2 linked regions of the Macaca fascicularis genome follow. The protein of the gene in region 1 interacts with the protein of each later gene in a biochemical or structural test. Links are inferred from orthologs where the notes say so. Each region holds a gene or a part of one and is shown on either strand. Other genes may lie near its edges.

Region 1 (3,909 bases):
CCATAGCTTATTTTTGGAACTGATAATACATGTAAAATGATGCACACAACAATTATTCCAGACTCTCACAGAGATACTATTACTTCCTAGAGAGCCTCAAATGTATAGCTGCTTAGTCTTTCGGGGCCTCCTTTGAAATGTGAATCAGAGGGAGAATTTGGGTTGCTTTGGCCTTAACTGCTACTAGTACAAGAAAGTCCCTTTACTCTATATCTTCTTTGTGTCAAATCCCTTGCATTACTGCTAGCTGCCTCCAAGCTTGCCAGAATCAAGAACTTGGATAAAATCTAGCTGGCGGAAATTCAATCCAGGCAAGACAAAAGTGATGCTGATAGGCAGAAGTATTTAGAGTAAATAGGGAGAAGTGCTGTTTCGCTGGCAATCGGGACATCATACCCACCAAACATAAACAGCTTTGTGGTGTTACTGGACTCTGTTGCTTCTGGACTTCTAACAGCTACTGTGGCTGGAAATGCCATCTTCCATCTCCAGCTGGCTTGAAGGCTGCATACTTTCTTCCAAATTAAGATTCTGCCACAGTGATGTACACATTTGTCATATCCAGCTGGACTACTATAATGCGTTCTAGCTTGTTCTCAATACACAAAACGACATAAACATTACAGACAACAGTGCAAAGTAATTTACTTGTTGGGAAAACTGGCCATCAAAATTAGATGCATGTTTGGGTCTTTGGACAGGCCCTGTGTCTGTCAAGTCTACAAAAGATCACTAACTTTATTCACTAAAGACTAAATTACATCATAGGCTATAGCCAATCAATCAAATGCCCAGAAGTTAGTAATGAATACACAAACAATGGATGAACCAAAAAGAGAGGAAAAAAATGTGAAAATCATACAGTGGTGTAGACAAAGCCTTTGACTTTTAGTCATGGCTTTATTCGTCTACATGTCTTCCAAAACAAGACTTTTGACTTACGAGCCTGAGTAAGTCAGATGCAAACAGGTCAGCATTTATACACACCTCAGTACATCTTCACTTATCAAAAAACAATTCATATCACATTTAATGTAAAGTCATCAGTAAAATTCGCCCTGTCAAAATGCCACCTTAAGAAAAATCCAGTTTCTCCACTAACATGAAAAACTGAAATTAGCAACACATTCTTTCAATGAATTGTTTTTAAATTTTGATTCTCAGAAAATGTAGAAACTTTGATTAAAGAAAGAGAAAAGGGTGTGTGTGTGTGTGTGTGTGTGTGTGTGTGTGTGTGTGTGTGATTGCAATTTACCCATTTGGGCTAAGAATAAATGGCACAATATGTAATGTGGGGCAAAGATTGGAAAACTTTTTCTCTAAAATGCCAGATAATACATATTTTCGGCTTTAAGGGCACATAGTCTCCATCCAATTGCCTTTGGAGTAGAAAGGCAGCCACAAACAATATGTAAACAAACGAACATGACTGTGTTCCAATAAAACTTTATGAACACTGAAAATTAAAAATTGAAAAATCTAGAGACCGTCCTTAGCCTGGGGGCCTGAAAAAAACAGTAGCAGGCTGGATTTAGCCCGTGGGCCGTAGTTTGCTGACCCCTGCTCCGTGCAACTACATTAAATAAGAAAAACATTCAACACTTTGGGCAAATTATTTAATCTGCCTCAGGTTTTCTCATCTGCAAAATGGAGTTAATAACATTAGGAGCCTCAGTGGGTTACTCTGAACATGAACTGTAGTAATACATTTTGAAAATGATACCAAGTGCACATAGTAAGTGTTCAATACATGTTACCTGTTAATATACATTACAATTCTAAAGTTAACTCCTTTTTAGTTCAGTGAAAAGATTAGAAAAGTAGTTCTTTTGTGTTTAAATTTTCAACATTGTCTTAAAGTGCCTAGATGTTGTCTTCTCAAAGGAAGAAACTAGATGTGCCCAAAGATGTCATGCACATTTGGAAAGGGGCAAACGCACAAGGAAACCTGCTTTGCAAAATCTGCCTAAAAGGCTAGCTCCGTCTGAACAGACACCTACCCGGTTTCTGTCTTCAATTGTCAACAGTTCCTCCTCCATGCACTTATCCAAGACGTCTCTAACTAGAAGCTTGTCCACCAGAGTGGGCTGAAGGAGGTTCAGCAGTTGGAGACATTCATCATGAGCGTTCTCAAACGATGGAGAGGGCAAGTCAGTGAGCTCAGGGTTCATGTAGCGGGCGGCCAGAGGGCTGCCCGCTCTTCGGAGGGCCTCCACGAATTCCCGAGTCCAACCAAGGTGCCAGACTCCCTTCTCCAAGGTGCTCAGGAGCAGTTCAACTGCCTGCATGTTCCCGGAGGTGGCGACCGTCCTCTGAATCTGCTCCTTCACCTCTGCAGGCAGAAAGGTCAGGTAGTCCAGCACAGGCTCCACCTGGATGTACATTTTCACCCTGGCCCTGAAGCACGAGATGAGATAGCGGAAATTCTCGTCTGTGGAATACCCATTCGACATCTTTCTTTCTCAGAGAAGGGAGAGTGTTCTCCCAAGCAGATGGTGCTGTTCTTTGCGGGACAGGTGAGATGTGCGTGCCGCTGTCCGCTGCCCACTTGGAGGAGAAGGGTCTACCTCTCTGTGCCTGACAACGACCAGGTTGCCCGCAGAGCCCTCCGGCCGGCGCGCGGGGCTGCGGTCGCACCTGGGCAGGTGGGCAGGTGGGCAGCGGGGAGGCGCGCGGGGCCGCGGGCGCGGCACTTTGGACTCTGCGGTGTGCACCCCGGGTCCCGAACCGGGTCGATCCGGCTGCACAGACGGGTAGGAGCTTCGAGTCTAGCTTTCTGTCAGGCAGTTTTTAAGGAGTTTCCCAGACTTTGGTTTCTGTTTCGATTCTCTTTTCAGGACTTTGCAAACGTAATCGGCCTAGAGGGGAGGGAGTTTCCTCAGGGAGGCGCCACCTTTTGGTCGGGGCGGGTGAAGACGGGAGGCCTTTGGTCAAGGACACCGCGGGAAACAGAAAAGGAAAGCGAATTCTCTCTGGCACCAAGACCAACACTCTAGCAAAGCTCCTCCTGCGGTTATTTTGTTTTCCCAGCGGGGTTCTGCCTTAACAATCAGGTCCTTTGTAGGTCAAAACGTGCAGTGCATAAAAGCCTGTGATTTGGGACTTTCCAATGGGGAAGTGAACAGAAACTGCCACAGACCCGGCCGTGAACAGGGAGTTACCCTCGGCTGGTGAATGCAGCAAGGCAGGCCTGGCTGAGGTTGGTGAGACTGCGAGGGACAGGTGAGAGATGAAGCTCAGAAGACATCTTTGCAGAGATGTGGAGAAGCCAGGAGGAAGTCACCTCTGTGCCCTCCCTAAAATAAACCTGACCTCCCGTGGGTTCCCAGACACTAACTTGTTTCCCTGGGAATTTGCAGGTGGGTACGAAAAAGTGAGTAACAATAAACAGTTAACTTTACTGCCTCATATTTAGGTTGCTGGTATTTATGCAGCTTTGACCAGAACCTGGTAACAGATGTGGATGGCCTTGAACCACCAACTCAGCTTATACGGAAGTCAAGACTGAAGGCTTCCTAGATTCCAGCTTGTAAGTTCCCTATATTCTTTAATATACAACTTTCCTTTAATAAAACAAAACAAAAAAATCCCCCAACAACTTATTTTTGATATAGCTGCCATTCTTTTCTTGGATTCAATACAGCAAGTTTTGGCTGGAGCAGCTAGGAACTTAATTAGCAACTAATGTACCAACTTGTAGTAAACATCAACATTTGTCTATGTCATGAGAGAAAAAAAACATATTCACACTGAAAAATGGCAGCTTCATTTTGGTACAGAAGCCACATGAATGTGAGTCCTTAAGGTTACTTCTCATTTAGGAGGCATTCTGTAGTCACGTGTGACTGTGGGTGGTAGGCACATACACACCATAACTAGAACCTCATGGTCCAGAATTATATAAAGGAT
Region 2 (3,909 bases), on another chromosome or scaffold:
GGTCTCAATCTCCTGATCTCGTGATCCGCCCGCCTCGGCTCCCAAAGTGCTGGGATCACAGGTGTGAGCCACCGCGCCCGGTGGTGGCCAGGCTGCGGTGGGTCTGGCCCCCTCCCACTCCCGGCGGCAGCGCCTGCTTGTGGAGGCGACACTCGCGCATGGTGCACACGCTGCACACGCAGCAGCTCTCGGTCCGGCAGAAGAGCTCCAGCGGCTGCCCGTGGCGGGGGCAGCGCGCGGCAGGGCCGGGGTCCCAGGTGCCACAGACCCGTCCCCTGGTTTGTCCCACTGGCGACTGTCACCTCTATACGTCCAAGGCCAAACTCTGCCCTCCACCTATGTCTCTCAGCACACAGACCCCAGCCACCTGCGTGCTCAAGACAGAATACCCAGGTGTCTCCCTTGCTGCCCTCTCTGCTGTCCCCCATGTCCCCTCTGGCCTGCTTTCGCCTCCACAAGGCACTGCTCCCCCTCAGCGTTTCTCATCTCCTCCATCCTGGTCTCCTTTCCCTGCCCTCCAAATGGTTCCTTGCCTCCCTGCACTCCTGCCCTGGGCTCCTACCCTATTCAGGTCTTGCGTCCTGCCCCTTTCAGCCCCCAGCCAGGTGATCAGTCTCCACGAAGCCCAAATCTGATCATGTGCCACCCTGCTTCCAAGCCTACAATGGCTCCCATGACACTAGAGTAAGAGACAGGCTCCCCCAGGACCCTGCCCGATCTGGCGCCTGCTGACCCCGGGGCCTGGCCTACAGATCTCAGTGGCACAAATCTGCCACTAGCCACCCCGCGTGCCCAGTTCTTTCCCATCCCAGAGAGGGAAGCAGGCTGATTCCTCTGCCTAGAATGCACTTCCCCAGGTCTTTCTCCTCCCGGCTGGTGCTTCCTCAGCCCTCACATGCCAGCCTGAAGGCGGCCTCCCCTTCCTCCTCCTGGCCTGTTTAGCAGGGTCACCCCGACACCTCTATCACATGCTATGTACTTTCCTCACTGCATTTTGCAAGAATACATTCAGGCCTTACTGGAACACTGACTTCTTAAGTGGATTCTAAGTCTCTTAAGGGCAGGGAGCTCGTCTATCCATTTACCAACAGCCCCCATACCCCCCTCACCCCTCCACCCCCACCCCGCACAGCGAATTAAAGCAGACACACGACTGTTCTCTAGCGCCTGGGCACGGAGCAGGGAGCTGCTGCCTCATGCCCAGGCTTTTTTCATCCGGAAGGCATCCAGCAGCTCCTGAGACCCACCCTGCGGCACTGGCCGGGCTGCACATCCCAGTCCGATGCACAGATGCGAGATATTTTTTTTTCATTTTGAGATGGAGTCTGGCTCTGTCGCCCAGACTGGAGTGCAGTGGCCGGATCTCGGCTCACTGCAAGCTCCGCCTCCCGGGTTCACGCCATTCTCCTGCCTCAGCCTCCCGAGTAGCTGGGACTACAGGCGCCCGCCACCACGCCCGGCTAATTTTTTGTATTTTTAGTAGAGACGGGGTTTCACCGTGTTAGCCAGGATGGTCTCGATCTCCTGACCTCGTGATCCACCCGCCTCGGCTCCCAAACTGCGGGGATTACAGGCGTAAGCCACCGCGCCTGGCAGACCCGCGATTTTTATAATCAACTCCCAGGTTGGGCGAAGCCCCTCCAGTTGAGGCTCCCCTCCCCCACCGGGTGCTCGGAGAGAGCAGGGCGCGGCCCGCAGGAGTCATCCTGCGGTGGCCAGGCCGCGGCGGGTCCGGCCCCCTCCTGTTCCCGGCGGACGCGTCACCTGGCGCTTGAGGCGCTCGGCGTCCAGCAGCGCCCGCTCGTGGAGGCGACATTCGTGCACGGTGCACACGCTGCATACGCAGCGGCCCTCGGTACGGCAGAAGAGCTCCATTGGCCGCCCATGGCGGGGGCAGCGCGCGGCAGGGCCGGGGCCGGGGTCGGGGCCGGGGTCCCGGGCGGGCCCGGCGTGCACCACCTCCAGCACGCCACTGAGGGCTACGTTGCGGCGCAGCTCGGCGCCGTCGGGGAAGGGCTCCCGGCACTCGGGGCACGCCTTCCCGCAGCGATCCCACCAGTCCCGGATGCAGGCTCCGCAGAAGTTGTGGCCGCAGGGCAGCGTCACTGGGTCCTGGTAGAGTCCCAGGCAGATGGCGCAGGTCAGCTTCTCCTCCAGTAGCTGCACGGCCATGGCCCGCTGGCGGTGGGAGCCAGGCGGGCCCCGGAATTCTCAAAGGGACAGCCGGCCTCGCGTACTGAGGGCGCCCGGGCGTGGCTAACGCGGGGCGGGGCGAGGCCAGGTCCCCGCCCCGGAAGCCGGGCCCTTCTCCGACACCTTCGACCAGCGACCTCCGCAGGGGCCTAGGCCACCCCTGCCCGCCTCGGCCTGGGCCGTTCGAAGGCTCCGCGTTCCGGCATTGCGCCCCTCCCTCCCTCTAGGCACCGCGCCACCCCGGCTGAGAGCTGGGTTCGGCTCTCTCGGGTCCCAGCCTGGCGGGTCCATCCCACCCCCGTGGGCCTTCAGCCCAGGTCCTGGAGACCAGAGGCTCGAAAATCCCGCCCCGCCTCCGGGCTTCTGACCACGGGTCGCGCGGAACCTCTTCTGGACTCATCTGTCAATGGCCTAAGGGCATAGACCACCCGCGCAATCCCCCGGGGCTCGGCGACGAAACGAAAGTCAGTGCACGTGGGCTGGCGGGCTCCCTGCAGACCCGAGCACTGCTGCACTTTTTCCTGGAGCTGGGTTTCGGGCACTTGCCAGACTGGGGTGTCTTCCTTCTCTGGGCTACACGTAATTTTGGTTATTTTAAAGTAAACAGCGAGATGGAAATGTCTGGTCACCAACAGACAGGGACCAGTTAACTGGTATTTTTCAAATGGCCCTTGAATGAGTACACAAACCAGCTTTCAGCTGCAATCAGCATCCCCTCTCCCTGCTGCCCTCTGCTGGGGAGTTTCTTGCCTGGGGTCCGAGCTGATCTGCAGCCTCAGTATTTAGAGGCACTCCAGCATTTCCCCTGCAGCTGAGCAGGCAAGGCGGGTCTGGGGCCTAGCGCCCACCTCCCTGGCAGTGTGTATCAGGCCAGGGGGAACCCCAGGAGAGCAAGGCCTTTCTATCTAACCAAGCTCGGCTGATGTTGCGGCGGCACGAGCTCTCACTGCTGCAGCAAGCACTGCGTCCTGTGTGCGGCCACCGGCGAAGTTTCTGGAAAAAGTGCACGGATCTACCCTCCACCTACTAGTTAGCCAGACTTCTGCTTTTGGTAAGGGAGAAACAAAACACCTAACCGTCCAGCCGCAGGCTCCATGGGCTTTCTGACCCTGAGCAGGTCTCTTGAGTCACGCTGTTACCTACCTAATGTGGCTTCTCCTCCCAAGCATGGGGTGGGGGCGGGAGTCTGTGCAGAGGGTCAGTGCTGGGGCAGGCACTCTCTCTCCAGGGGCCCGGTGGGACCCCGTGGGGCACACAGCCAGTGCTCAATAAATGCTCCCTCCTGAGCCCAGCTGCTCTGCTCCACTTTTTCGGGGAGCTGGGTTTCAGGCACCTGCTGGATTGGGATGTCCGTCTCCCTTCCCAGGGCCACACCTGTTTTTGGCCCACTGCCTGCTTTTGCTTCGGATCCCAGGGTCCCCGACACCCTCAGAAGATGGAGGTCAGGGTGCACCTGGTGGGGTGGGAGGCAGCCCCTTTCCCACCCATGAGTACAGCTCCATCGGGGTCCTCTGGCCCTGGAACACCGAACCAGGCCAGCTATGGCAGAAATCATCTTTTTTTTTTTTTTTTTTTTAATAGAGGCAGGGTTTCATTATGTTGCCCAGGCTGGTCTTGAACTCCTGGGCTCAAGCGATCCTCCCTCCTCAGCCTCCCAGTGTTGGGATTACAGACATGAGCCACCAAGCCTGGCAAGAAATCATCTTTATTCACATC

Evidence for each region.
Region 2: of the proteins of IFIH1 (region 1) and TRIM65, one has a biochemical effect on the other in vitro, tested with the Homo sapiens proteins (2 studies listed by BioGRID, with this or other methods). The link is inferred for Macaca fascicularis from reciprocal best matches to the Homo sapiens genes IFIH1 and TRIM65.

The regions. Positions count from the first base shown.
Region 1 is NC_088386.1:57,786,560-57,790,468, forward strand, and holds the start of IFIH1 (interferon-induced helicase C domain-containing protein 1), read right to left. Parts: upstream 2,812-3,909; 5' UTR 2,454-2,811; coding exon 2,001-2,453; intron 1-2,000.
Region 2 is NC_088390.1:82,303,770-82,307,678, forward strand, and holds the start of TRIM65 (E3 ubiquitin-protein ligase TRIM65), read right to left. Parts: upstream 2,255-3,909; 5' UTR 2,173-2,254; coding exon 1,765-2,172; intron 1-1,764. UniProt on the Homo sapiens protein: E3 ubiquitin ligase that plays a role in several processes including innate immnity, autophagy or inflammation.